Oreochromis niloticus: one gene and its partner. The protein of the gene in region 2 purifies or fractionates together with the protein of the main gene of each other region. This does not show direct contact. Links are inferred from orthologs where the notes say so. Each region holds a gene or a part of one and is shown on either strand. Other genes may lie near its edges.

Region 1 (8,015 bases), on a different chromosome or scaffold from region 2:
GCTCTCAAATTACATTGCTCTTGTTCTCTGGAGCTCAGCGCTAAATCATGAGCAACCGGGCTCAACCTCCAATCCATCATTGTCAGAGTGTGATGAGAGACTACAAGCTCACTGTACACATAAAGACAAAGCAAACAGAAGGGAGGGCCCACTACATTACTTCAGAACACACCATACCTAGCACTAATTCCATAAATCCTTCCTGAAAATAAAAATAAAAGGAGTGGAATTTTTCTTTTTCTTTTTAATTCAAGAGCCATACAAGTGTTTTATTCCAGTTTACTAGGGATATTGTCTACTTGTCCATTCTGCTTACCATCCTTTGAAATAAGTAAGAGCTTGTTTTTTTAAGCTAAACTGCAATGAGACATCCCATAGTCTGTGCAGGTAATGGTTAATCTGCCCTAATACTAATAATTCGCACACAGTAAACTCACCCATATGATCTATTCCTGTGTTAGCGAGAAGCTTGAATATGAGGTTTGATTCTACCCACCAGTAACATCACAGCAGGCATGTGCTGGAGTAATTTTGGAAGGACTCACAATGCACTCCTCATGGCTTCTTGGTGCCGTACAGTAAAGAAAACAACTGACACACAATATAAATGCTTTGTTTAATGGGACATTTAATCATAAGGAGAAGCGTGCAGTCTGTGTTTTTGGACCAGTGCTTTCGGTAATAACACTTGGTTGAATGACTGCCAGTTGTGGAGCTCCACCCAGGATACACTATACAGGCCTAATTTGGATGTTTTTTGGGCTCCAGTTACTTGATAAAATTACTCTGGACATAAACCCCAACTCCAAACTTAACAACATCTGTGCAGAAACTGTGCTCATGGGCTGATTTTCAAGTCTCATCCCACACAAGAAAGTTTCAAATATCTGCAAATGCAGTCGAGTCGTGTCCTGAAAAAAATACAAATTAACATTTTTTTTTTTTTAAACATGCACCTTTGGAAGTTGCCTCAAATCTAACAAGTGACTTATGGTAAAGCTCTTAAAAACATGCACTGCAATCGTCTTACAACTCTTTATTACCAGCCAATCCTCTGCCTTTCTTTCCCTCCTGGGAGTCCATTATTTGCTTTCCACCCCTGCACCCTGCCCTGGTATTCTCATATTTCCCCCATTGCACACCACCACCGCAAAGTACAAGAGCTCTGGGGTGCACACAGCTTCAACTTACTGTCAAGATTATTCAAATTCCTTTTTATTTATTTTTCCCTGTCAAATGCTCAGTGATAGACCAAAACCAGAGTGTCAATTGGTTAAATCTGCTCTGACTTGACACAACACAAAGGCCTCAATCAATCAGCAGCTTGTGTCTCGGTGTGCGTTTCATCCCTGCTGACTGCCACACAATGACCAGCAACTTTAATCAATGACACTGATGGAGAAGCAGTGGTTGCACAGCCTCAAAGCCTGCTTCTGATGTAAGGCCATATTACTGTAGTGGCTACCTACCAACCTGGCAACAACCTAAAACTAAACTTTAAAAGTGTAATTCTTGAAGAAAAAAAAAAAAAGGGCACCTGGCTAGTGTTAGCCAGGTGTGCTGTCAGGATCTAACCACGCCAGAGTAAAACCAGGTGGAAAAAGAATCACATCCATAACCTATGAGCTCTTACATTTATGCTGGCATGTGTGTAATTTAGCAGCCTCTGCATAAATCACTGCATAACAGGAAGGGGTTACTGTTACACAAGGTTAGTATTTACACTGCTATTTACAGTATATAGCTGTGAAATGATAGTTTGTGGTCAGCTTATCAAGCTATATTTATCTTTTCATGTTTGTGCAGTATGAATAAGGGGGATAAGGTGGTTATTAAGACGTCGCAAACAGTTCCAGTAACATTAACTTTCAGGAAAGAAACAGTCCTTATTGAGAATAAAGTGAATCTAGTGGCTGATGGGATGTGTTTTCACAGCATGCATCTGTATGTATGTACTCACAGTGTCACTGTTCTGTTCGGGAAAGAGAGAGAGTCCGGGGGCAACACCTGATGGAGCTCCATGTTGCTGCAGACCACTTTCTTGTAGGACGGCACGATTTTCCCACCGCTTTTCGAGTTTTCATCAAACGATTTGCACGCGGATGATGCCGCCGAGCCACAGCAGCCGCTCAGCAGCAGCAAAATCCCAAACAACTGCAAACGATCCACCCTCATTTTTAATTCACACGCGACCAGAAAAGCACTGCAGCACCGGCGAAGGAAACAATGTTTTGATAACAGAAACGGCGGGCGGGTAGATGTTGCTAGAACCGGGCAAAGAAGAATGAGACCTTTGCAAGTATGTTGTTTGGCTCAAGCGAGCCTTCCTCCTCCATTTCTCGCAAGGCTTTCCCTTTGCTCGGCGGTGTTCAGTCCGACGGAGGTGTCCTTCTTTGTTTGGAAAACGACTCATTTAGAATTCCCTTTCCATGCTGGCACCGGCTTCCATTTCCTCCCAGCTCTGCAAATTTACCACATTTCAAATGCCGAGTATCCTCCCTGGTAGCTAAATAACTAGCCCAGTTGTTGAGAGGTTCCCTTTGTTGCCCATAGCGTGGGTCCAAGTCAGTGTGTTGTCTTATCCAAAGGAGGCGGCTGCAGTCATCCCAGGTTATCCGCTCCCAACTTCAGGAAACGCGGTCGGGCTTTTTAAACGCTCACTTTAAATTTCCCATTACTTCGAAACACGTACGGGACGACAAACAAGCGTGCAAATTCTCGCCCCCGGTCATGAACAGGAAATTACTTTGAGGAAAAAAAACAGAGCGCAAAAACAACAACGGTTTTAGCTTAAATTGTGCTACCAATGAGGGAAAAATACACTAAAAATTGTATAATAACGTATCCAGAGTAGTCGGCGTGTCCGTTTTGTTAACCGGTGTCTTTAGAAAATATTTAAAACTAGTCTTCTTTCCATTGAGAAGTCCTACTAGTCCCATGGTCCTGCCCCGGGAGCCACTGAAGTCAGGGGCGGTCAAGGCCGAGCGGATTCTAAACCACATCCGGTCCGCATTTCATAATAAAAGCACCAGCAGATGACTTCCTTTGAGTTTGGGGTATGATTGCGTCTATGTGGTTTATTGGTTGAACGCAAAGGAACTGTTAAAAGTGTCTTTTTTGGATATGTACCTGTTGCACATCACCAAACAGTCCGCAGTTACATGTAAAACTATCAGCATAAGTAATATAGCATTTAAAATATAAACCTGCGATATAAAAATGCGATAAGGGGGCATATTCCCACCATAAAAAATATGGTGAACATAAAAAAATACTGCTGTTGCAGGACTAAAGTGAGTGTTTATGTTTTTCTTGCTACTTTTATTGTAATACACGATCTGTACTTCCACCTCTGGTCGTTTGGTCCAGTTTGCAGTTCACATGAAAGCCATGATAAGGATTTGTTTTTGCCCTGATTCAGACGTTTGAATCTTTCCACTCCACCGAGTTGAGAATGTAATACTCTTGATAATCTGATAGTATTTGTTTGCCCTCTTGTCGCAGTCTATTGTGTTCATTTTGATGAGATCAAATGATTCACTTCATCATATAGAAAACTGTACTACAGCAGTAAAGTGGGCACAAGTCCTTTGCTTATTATTAGAACCCGTGCGAGGCTTAACGATAGACTGTATATGATACGGAGGTGCAGATAAAAGGGCCTAAAGAGTATGCAAAACTACATTGTTGTTATTTTAAAAATCCGGGTGGTGAAATGTAGGCTACACGTTTGTTGGAACATAATAAAGCTAATATAAGTGGGGCTTTTTATGGAATAAATATCATATATGTTATAACTATAGTTCATTCTACATTTCTTATGCTATCGAAACAAATACTTCGTCCAAGTTGTTAATTACGTCGTAATATTTGGGTCTTTACTATTTGAATTTACGTTATTTGTTACATTTTTTTAAATTAATACCACAAACACACACGCAGAAACTCACAGAGTTGCTCTGCTTGACTGCAAAATAGACTTTTACTAATTTACCAAGCTGGCAACAGCCTTTGATTTCATCGCAACCCTCGACTCATTCTTGCGGTGCTTTCAGGTGCACCTCGGATCATTTCTTAATCCCACATTCCTGCCCTAAATTTTGAACATGAAAAGACCGAATCCCGTGAACTAATGTGTTTTTGATTTATTATTATTTAATAACAGCATTAAGCTAGTATTACAGTAGTGGCATTGTGGAAAAAAGCAAAATCCAGCGAGATAATTATCTTCGGAGTTTCTCGTACTGGATGAAATCTTCTATACGTGATTTACGAAACGTCACATCTCGCAGTAGTTCCTGGTCTGTGGACGTTAATGGCTGCAATGCCACATGGAGCAAAAACAAAACAAAACAAAAAAACGTCCGCTTTGTAGGGAGACAAATAGCTTTGTGTATTACATTTCAGATAGATAAAAGCATGACGCGCTAAGATATAGGAACACCTTTGTTTCAGCGTCCTAAGGCACAAAAACATGTTCCCACGTGACTTTGCATGGGGAGCGGCAACGTCTGCGTATCAAATAGAAGGTATGTAAACACAAGTTTCTGAATGGAGCAGTGATAACTGTCATGGAGTGGGAGAGAGAGAGGGCCTTTACATTCCGAGAACCTCTAATGTAATTCGCTTTACCGTGACTACTTCACTTGGTAAATATTGGCGCTATTGACGCTGTAACATGCTTTAAATGAGTGTTTGGTGAAACTTAAGCATGTGTAAATAAATAGTAACCATTGCACTGATTATATTGGAGATACAGATAGGTGAAAATTTATTCATCATTTCCTCATTTGTTGTTTTGACATTGGTGTAACAGGGCATTTTCTAATGTTGGTCTAAAATCTCCCACTGATGTTTAGCTTCATGAGATCTGGTGACTAAACGGGCCTTAAGTCTGTGATTCATATAATTTTCTTATTCACCAAACCATTCGGTGACCTGTATGGCTCATGCATCTATGCACTGTCATCATGGAACCCCCCATGACGCTTTCATGCCTATGTGCACTGAAGAATATGGTTAAGGCTGGTTCATCTCTCTCCACCATATTACTTTTTGTGTTCTGTGACACAGTCTGATCATATCCCATATTGTCATTGTCAGTCACCTGAGGAAGAATGGCTCTTTTTCTGGTTTTCAATACACTAATGCAACAAAAAACACAGCCGTTTGTTTCCTTCCCCTAACCCCTAACTGGTTGCAGGAGATAGCTGCCCATCCCTGAGCCTGGTTCTGCCGGAGGTTTCTTCCTGTTAAAAGGCAGTTTTTCCTTCCTACTTTTACCATGTCTGATTGTGATGGTTGTCTGATTCTTGGACATTTCTTTTTATTATTGTAGGACCTTTACCTTCCAATATAAAGCACCTACACGCGACTGTTGTTGTGATTTGGTGGTATAAAACTAAGTTGAATGTGTTCCTCTGATCACTGTTTCTGCCCTTTACTTGTATTTCTCCCCACATTTTTTGAGTTGTTCCTTACATTTGTCACTCATTTGGCACACATAAAAAAAATATTGGCAGACTAATACAGTCTTTAACACACTTATGTAATTAGATGAAAGTAAATAAATGCTAGAGTCGATGACGTCTTAGATGCTGTCACAATAAATCCACGGACACTCTAAAAGCCTCAGAAGGAACATCAGAGTGATATTTCTATATATCAGCACTTTACCTGTTTTTCTGAACAACCTTTACGTGCTCGCTCAGGTGGCTGGCAATCGGACGGCAAGGGACCGAGTATCTGGGACACATTTTGTCATGAGAAAGGCAGAGTGTTTGGGGACCAGAATGGAGATGTGGCCTGTAACAGCTATGAGCTGTGGGAGAAAGACCTGGAGTGTATCCAGCAGCTTGGACTGACACACTATCGCCTGTCTTTCTCCTGGGCCCGCCTCCTGCCTGATGGGACCACGCAACATGTCAATCAGAAAGGTATTTTCATAGACCTGAAACACACATGCTGGAATTAGATCCAGGCCTATTTGATGGCTTTAGGCAATTGTATCTCATTACCCATTTATGGCACTCTCTGTTCAACAGGTGTGCAATACTACAACAAAGTGATTGATGATTTGCTAACCTCAAATGTCTCACCGATGGTTACCCTTTACCACTTTGACCTGCCTCAAGCTCTGCAAGACCAGGGAGGCTGGAAATCACCTGGTATAGCCAGCCTCTTTGACAACTATGCTCAGTTTTGTTTCCAAACATTTGGGGACCGTGTCAAACTTTGGATCACTATCAATGAGCCACAAGTGTGCGCCAAACTGGGACACGAAGACGGCATCCATGCCCCAGGGTTAAAAGAGAAAGGCACCGCTGCCTACCTGGTAGGACACAACATGCTGCGGGCCCACGCCATGGCCTGGCACAGCTACAATTCTCGCTACAGGTCAGAGCAGAAAGGTGCCGTGTCTATTGCCCTCAACAGCGACTGGTATGAGCCATTAAACCAAGGTTGCCCCGAGGACTTTGCTGCTACTGAACGTGACCTTGCATTTACACTGGGATGGTTCGCCTGGCCTGTGTTTGTTACCGGTGATTATCCAGAAATAATGAGATCTGCTATAGACGCTCAAAGTAAGAAGCTAGGATACAATGCAGCCTCAAGGCTCCCCAGTTTCTCCAAGGATGAATCTGCCATTCTGGGAACTGCCGACTTCTTTGCGTTGAACTACTACACGTCTCGCAAAGTCAAACCAGGAGGAGGTTGTGAAAAGATGTTGTGTATGAAGGGTGACAAAGATACAGAGGAAGTTTTGGATTCATCCTGGCCCATCAGTGGACTGTCCTGGCTGGCTGTAGTGCCGGATGGCTTGAGGAAACTCCTAAAGTACATTAAGGTAAAACTTTTTCTTAAAAATCTTTTTTTTTCTTTTGGTTAGTCTGTGTGGGGCAGCCAATCAGAAGAAAGTTTCCTTAAAAAGTGGGGGGAGGGAGTATAAACTGCTTGTTTCAGATAAATGATTGACTAAGATAATTCACCAGTCCCAGCATAACATAAATAAGGATTATTTTAAACTGTGAGCCATGCACAGCTACTGCAATAGAGTCCAAAAATGTAAAAATGAACAATTTTACACTAATATATAACACTAAAAATAACCCAAACCAAGGGCCGACCAAATTCTTTCATTACAGTTTGGATTCACCTTGCGGAAAAGTAAAGTCGGTGCTCAAAATGAATTGACCAGCAACAAGATAGATCACCTTCAACCGTACGAGGAGAACACTGGCATTTGTTTAGTGTCTCACTATTGATTTTGCATGCAGCAATCTCTTTTCGACACCTCCAGAAACACACTGATGCTTCATTAGTGCTGTCACATTGAATGAAACAGTTACTTTGCTGAAAAGTGTTTGCAAACGAGCAATTTCCTGCTGTTGTGACTTGTCACACGCCATTAGTCTGAGCCTGGCACCGTTGAAACGCAGCTGAACGGCACACTGTAGACCAATCTGTCTCTCCCTGGAATGCCTGACAGGCTGTGATGCCTTGTTTGACAATAATATTTGCCCTCTGACTTTGCAGGACACTTTCAACAACCCAGCGATCTACATTACAGAGAATGGTTTCTCTCAGGTGGGGCCACTGCAGATCGAGGATGCCCAGCGCTGTGTGTATTACAAGGACACCATCTCAGAAGTGGCAAAAGGTAATGGCTAGTAAATCGGGACTGCGTAAATCCTGCGTATTTAAAAAATGAAAAGCATGCGAATCTGGAAAATAATGGTTAAAATATCATTTTAATTCTGCAGCTTCTCCAAATTGACAAATTTAGTCTTGTTTAAAACAAAAACATTTATTTGGTCTGATGTACCTTTAATCTTCTTGCTATCATTTATCATAAATTTGGTTTCCCAAGACTGTTTGTGTCGTATCAAAAGGTTTTTATTTATACTTTTTATGATGAAGATAAAAAGAATAACATAAATGAACATACATGTCCGTGTTTTAATACATAAGCCCGCTAACAAGTGCAGTGGACCTAGTAAAAAACAGGTTTTTGC
Region 2 (6,917 bases):
ACAAGGGGAACCCAAAGGGACAGAGTCAGCCAACGATCCAACACCAGTCAGAGAGGAGAGAGAAAGCACAAAGGGTGGTACTTTGGTGCAGGGGCAGTTAACTCGTCAAGGCTGCAGGCAATGAAATACTGAATGTATGTGGCATGAGGACACACGGGTTTAATTTGGGAAATGGTGGGGGCATAATTTTGGCAGGGAGACTACAGTCCTTTCTTTGAAAATTTAGGAAATTCTCGTTACATTTCCTGCAATTATACACGGCACAGTCACTCCATATAAAATTAAATCTGGAAAAAGTCCCTACCTGACCCCTCAAAATCAGCAAATATTTTTTGGACATTAAGTTTAGGATATTAAATTTACACACAGAAACATTTACCATGATATTATGAATATTTGAATTCATGTGTTAGAAAGCCTCCAAGTACATCAAGGTCAAAATTAAAAAAAATTTTAAATTTACATTACTACTTCAGCCTTTCGGAGCTCCCGTAGATTCAAAAGTACAGGAGACATTCACATAGTGATGCAGAAGAACAGCCCTGAAGACTTCATGAGACTATCTCCTGTACTTACGAAGACTTAAGGGCTCAAAAACTATGGAAAAAGAAAACTAAACGGGTATTTTTCCCCATCAAACCCTAAATTCTTTGAGGGCCTGTAGCTGGCAAAATATTCATAGTATGAAAGTCAAATTTTGCATGGCTTCCTTAAATATCTTAAAGGTATTGTCATTTTTTTTAGACTTTAATCTGCTAATCCCTGGTGATAAATACATGTAACCTCAAAAAAATAACCACTTGTTCAATAACTAATCAAACAACAGTGCCGGTCATTCTCAAACAAATGATTTAACACCACATCCCAAAAGTCCCTACTATAAATTAGGCCCATACACAGGGAGGTTTACCAGCACACGGTCCAGTTAAAAAAGCTGGATGCAACTGGAGGTACTTCCCAAAAGATTCCCCAACAGAAACAATGTAATTCTGCTAATGCGACTCTAAGATGACTCGTTTATCGAAAGGAAGACGTCAGTTAGCAGGAGCTGCAACACGAGATTCCTCCCTCCACAGGGACATTACATACAAACACTTCTACCCCTTCATTAGATGTGCACATGGTAAATGACTGGTTTCAAAGTGCACGTTCAACACTTCTAAAGCAAACCCTCCATTAACAACTTAGGACCGATTCACAGGCTGGCTTCACCTTGGCACTATGATTTTAAACATTTAGACAGTGTTAGACCAACATAACACTGATGGCTTGCACCAACAGCGGCACTGTCATGAGATAACAACAAGCACTTTAGATTATTCTGCTGATGTTCTAATGCCACTCTACAATTAATCCTAATCAGCAACATCATAACAATCACGAGACACAACCTTATACACTGACCAACCCCAACATAAAAAAAATGATGACCAATTATATCACAACATATCAGAAACATGTAAAGGTTACTTTGACCTGCACATGTACAGTAATGACGCCTCATCAGTGACACTGGTACTTAACTAATAAATTCATGAGGAAAAATATAAATAATTATTCAAGAAATAACTTGCAAATTTACCAAATAGAACGGAAAAAAAAATTCAAGGACAAATTGGCAATTAGAAAAAAAATCTTTTAAAAAAAAAAGTCTTAAATTAAGACAAAACTTGACAATTTACAAGAATATAAATGATAAACTTAAAATATTTTTTAAAGTCCTACATTTCCTAGTAAAACGGATAAATTAATTAGACAATAAATGTGCAACAATACGACACAAAAAAGGAGAAAAGTAAAAGAAAACGTCTGATTCACGAGCAAATTTTTAGGGGGAACCCCCCCAAAAAAATGCAAATTCACGAGAAAAACTGAAACATTTACGAGTAAAACAGAAACATTTACCCCCACAAACTAATTGACGAATCAATTAGACAAAAACTGGCAAATTTAGGATTAAAAAGGAAATTTCAAAAGACAAAAACGGTGAAATATACGGGAAAGGGGGCAATTTTACAAGAAAAAATATTATTTTATGAAAAACTAACACAATTAGAAGAGAAAACTCACAAATTTGCCAGAAAAAAAGTGAGTTTTTTTTACTTTTACAAATACAGAGGAAACCCTAGAAAAAAATAATATAAAAGAATCACAGCTGTAAATGATTAATATAATGTACCTGCACAATTAGCTGTAACAGTTCGGTGGAGTTTGTCCAAGTTTTAAAGCTAAATTTACAGATGTGAGGGGCACACAAACACATACACAAGTGGACTGATTGCAAAGTTTGAACACAGCTGGATTACTATGCAGGCCTTCTTACCCAGGAGCTTCTTCACCTCCTCCACACTCATGTAGATGTTGACTCCGGGGTTGTTGTTGTTGACGCCTACGGGGCTGCCCGGGCTGGCCAGGCAGCCGGCCCCTTCCAGCAGCAGCAGGAAGAAGAAGCCCCCCAGCCTCCAGAGCACCGAGTGCGGCCACACTCGGGACTCGGACGGGCTGCCGGAGCCGCGGATCAACCCCAGCATAACGACGGTGGTTGTCTGGCTCGCTGTTGTTCTCGCTGTTCCCAGAGAATTTCTTTCTCATCCGTATCTGAAATTAATCCCGGGAGGCAACATTACGAGTTACTTCAAGCCCCGACACTCTTACTCACTATCGTGTTTTTAGTTTTTTGTCCCTTCGTGGTAGCTGGAGTGGGCTAAGTTAGCCGGAGCGGGCTAACTTTCAGTCGGGCTGTGCTAACCGTCCGCGGTCCGACTCGCAGTTGATTGTTTGACTGTTCAGGAGATTTACGAGCCACGTAAAATACACACCGGATATCGCCACATTGAGACGCTTTGATTTCTGTGGGTAGAAGCGAAAGAAGAGTGAAAAGTGCCCTAAGCAACAAACTAGCTAATACATCCAGCTTTCCCCCTCCATGGTCTCTGCTCCCGACGCTTTTTCCTCTCAGTTTTCACTCCGGGCAGGAAGGGGGGCAACGGGGGCGCGCAGCGCTCTGGCTTCTGCTGCCTTCACGTGCTGTCGGAAATATCACAGCCAGAGGACAATAAAGAAACATCAAGTTAATGTCATTTATTTATTATTATAATAATTTCTACATTAAAAGATAGGCATGCCTCAAATAACAATATAAAGAATGCATAAAGTGGAAAAGAGATCGACTTTATCTCGATGGCAGTTTAAAAAAAATGTTTTTTTGTTGGGTTGGTGATTGAGGTTGTAAATTTACAAGAAAATAATTGTAAAGTGTATGAAAAAAGAAAAAAAGCAGTCAAATTTAAAACAAAAGGAAAAAAAGCATAAGAAAAAGCTATAATGACAAAAGATAAAAATGTATGGCAAAAAGTTCCAGATTGATATAAATTATTTAAATTTATGAGATAAATGGAAATTTTATGTGACAAAATGTAATATTTATGAAAAGGCAAACTGAAGAGGAAAAAGTTGAAACCGTGTGATTAAAAACCCCCAGACATATTTATTTTTTAAAATTAAATAAATTGTGAGGGAAATATTTACAAGACAAATTTAGAATTCACAAAAAATAATACCTTTTCTTTTAGTAAAAAACGGCAAAATTAAAAATAAATCTACAAGGAGATAAAAGGAAAATAAAAGAAAAAATGAACAAAAATATAAAAAAAAAAAAGATATATTTAGGAGAAAAACTGAAAAAAATAATTGTTTAATAAAAGAATAACATCACTTTTTAGGTTTAAGTTCACAAAGAAATTTACATATTTGAACTCATGAGATCAATGATTTAAAAACATTATCAGAGCACCAACAACACCTCTTTCCAGTCATATAACCCCACACAAAGATAGCTCATTTTCACTGAAACAAGGTTTCCTGGATTAGCAACACTGGTCTCTGAGTCCAGCAGATGTGAAAGGGAGAAACCACTTTGTTGTTTACATGTTCTGTATAACAGTTCAAAGATATATTGATGAAACAACTTTAGGTCCTCAAGAAGTTTTTCAAAATCCTTAAAGGATCTGGATGGCACAGCTTCTCAGTTTCAGTGGAAGTTCTCTTTGAAATGTCTTGCTTCACTGTCTGTTCAGCTTTGGACTTTTGGCATGGAGGGCATGTCATTTACTTGAGAACATCCAGTTGTTGTGACACTCACTGCAGTGTCCTTATCTGCTGTTCCACTGCAATATAAACAATACCCCAGTGGCTCTGGTGTGAGGCTTCTCTTTAAGGCAGTAAACAAGTGGGTCTAATATGGCAAATTAATATTTCATCTGCCTCCGAATCATATTTGAATTCTGGTAAATATGATTCATATTATTTTCTCATCGATCAGTGGCCCTTCATCATCTTTCTTTTTTTTCTTCTTTATTTAGTTTACATTTGCCTTTAATTTGACCCCTGTCTGTATATAGCCTGAGGCTTAGAAGAGTCACTTTGGCAGAGCTAGAGACTCATGACTACAGGGCGTTAGGCAGACAAATTACAGCAGCGAGGAAGCTTTTGTTATGTGGTGATGGTTCTGATAGAGCAGTCTCCTTTCTGACTGGGGTAATTGATTAACAAAACCCAAGGCATGCCCATGCTCTGTTTTCTTTCATGAAGTATGTCCCAAATTGGTCTAATTTAATGATTAAAGCTAAAGTTTGGATTTGGAGTCTTTAATTTTGCATCTCCGCCCACTTTTGCATGCTTCAGTAACTCAATAATCCAGACACACACAGGAACAAAGAGAAGAGTAGTGACGTTCAGTAGTAAACTTAAAAAAAAAACAAAAAACGTCTCCATTAACAGAGTAAACAAAGTTATGGGTGTTTTCTCTTCTTAAAATGAAAATATTCTACTTTTCCTTATTTTCTGTCAAACTTATACTGTAACACAGGTGGATGCTCATATTAAAAGTAGCCAGGGAGTGACGTTGGGAGCCAAAAACTCAAGCTTCAGATTGCAGAGTTAGTCTCAGTGAACCAAAAACTGCAGTTGCTCAGATTCTTAAAGGCTGGCTCCAAAAGTGAGTCAGTTTCCACAGATTCTAATGTTAAAATAGCCAATTTCAGCTATATAAACAATACTTTTACAGCCTGGTAAAGATTTTGAGCTCTGTAGTTCATTTCCTCCTTTATAACAAGCGGATAATTACTGGTCTGTCTCTTAGGCTTCACCTTTACCAAGCAGTATCATTAAACTGTAGCACTTAACCGTGTTTGAGCTGTTGGTGTATTTTGTAGCGGTTTTAATGCAGTCATCTGGCTTGCTGTAAAGTGCACACCATCCAAGCAGTCTGTGTTTAACGAGTGAAATTCCACGATGTTTATTTGGATGTTGGTTTGGCATTAATCAGAAAACATCTCCATTTCTGTGAGCCGCTGTACAATTTATAAATACCACTTTATTAGCACCACACAAAAGTACTAATAAACTAAGTTGTCAGTGTTAGCTGATAGCTTAGCAATCTCTAAATATGGTAATTTATAGCTCTAAAAAAGCACAAAACAAACAGACAAACACAAATATAGTCATGCCTAAAACTCTGAGTCTTCAAAATATAGATGCCAAGGTGGTCACATCCATCTTTTGCACATAGCCTATGGACATTTCTTTCCTACTCTGGCTTTGCATGATGCCTATCAGTGAAACAGGATGTCCCTAATATGGTCATCTGTGGCACACAACTCCACCTACCTGCTATTCAAACCATTTATGAGGGGCAACAAATTAAAAGACATGATCCAAACCAGCTTGTTTCAGACAGAGGGCGAACTGAGGCACTGCACCAAGCCCCAGTTTAAGATAAAGATTATTGTGAGCCATGAAATAATGCTAAATTGTGCTAAGCTACTGTAATAGATTCCAAAAACAGTGAAATGGAGCTAAAAATGAGTACAACTGCTCTCCTTTAATCTGTTAATAAAATACTTTTAGTATAGTTTTCGATGCTGTCAAAACATGATAGATTCAACACAGTGTGACAAATGATGGCAAGAACTGCAACACACACACACCAGGAATCATTTTAACATTTTTATTATTAAAATATTCACCTACAAAATGGCCTATAAACACTATTTACAGATTAGCGAGCAGCGACGCCTGCTGAGACACAGAGGAAGATATTCTACACAGAAAACGCTGTGCATCATTGTCAGAGGACGAGATCAGTTTAAGGGTGAAAGTACACATTTCCTGCTGTCTTCGTAAGGAGATGATGGGACTGATGTAAGGAAAAGACTCTGCTTTTACTTCCCTGAGGGACAAACCTGCAGCTGAATCACAAACGTAAACCTCTCCAAATGTGTCAGCATTGGACGTTGAAATGAGGTATATAAGGTCTCTGATGCAGTGCAGTTGACTGCTTAGGGTTCATATTTGCATACCATATGTGGTTGCATGAAACTCAGTCAGCAAACACTGCAAATGATACATGATGCGGGACGTTTTTCATCTGACTGATCGTGCTTCCGCGAGCTACAAAGGCAACTCTCGGGATGCAGCCTCATATTCAGATGGTTGATGGTTTGTTTGTGAAATGTTACAGTGGGCTCTGACAGGGTTTTTCAGCACAAAAAAATGACCATAATCAGTTACTTCAAGTAGATTATAAACACCAAAATTGAAGTAAGGAGGTTTTTCACATGACAGTGATGACAGTCCTTTCATCAGGCTCCAAGTGCTCTAGAGAGAGAGAAAAAAGAAAAGTCTCATTTTGAGGGTAAGTGCTGAAAATCTTGTGATCCTCTACAATAGCAGTTCATAAGAAGGGCTGAAAAAAAATCACAAACCTTTATTGTTGTGTGTTTGTTCTTCTGGCTGTTAAGACAGTTAAAGTTGGTATATGAACAGCATTGCATTGGTTTATCGTCTTAAAAATATTGCGCAGACAGATTGTTTAACTCACTCTGACTCTTCTTGGAAGGCGTCGGTTCACAAATCTC

Evidence for each region.
Region 1: the proteins of ryk (region 2) and adgra3 purify together in Homo sapiens (affinity purification with mass spectrometry; 3 studies listed by BioGRID and IntAct, with this or other methods). This does not show direct contact. The link is inferred for Oreochromis niloticus from reciprocal best matches to the Homo sapiens genes RYK and ADGRA3.

The regions. Positions count from the first base shown.
Region 1 is NC_031967.2:12,246,558-12,254,572, reverse strand, and holds the start of adgra3 (adhesion G protein-coupled receptor A3), read right to left. Parts: upstream 3,003-8,015; 5' UTR 2,176-3,002; coding exon 1,961-2,175; intron 1-1,960. Other genes in the region: gba3 (cytosolic beta-glucosidase), read left to right, coding at 4,475-4,529, 5,712-5,936, 6,045-6,847, 7,537-7,660. UniProt on the Homo sapiens protein: Orphan receptor that may have a role in planar cell polarity pathway.
Region 2 is NC_031986.2:32,535,002-32,541,918, reverse strand, and holds the start of ryk (tyrosine-protein kinase RYK), read right to left. Parts: upstream 3,014-6,917; 5' UTR 2,532-3,013; coding exon 2,324-2,531; intron 1-2,323. Other genes in the region: sned1 (sushi, nidogen and EGF-like domain-containing protein 1), read right to left, coding at 6,767-6,792, 6,881-6,917. UniProt on the Homo sapiens protein: May be a coreceptor along with FZD8 of Wnt proteins, such as WNT1, WNT3, WNT3A and WNT5A. Involved in neuron differentiation, axon guidance, corpus callosum establishment and neurite outgrowth.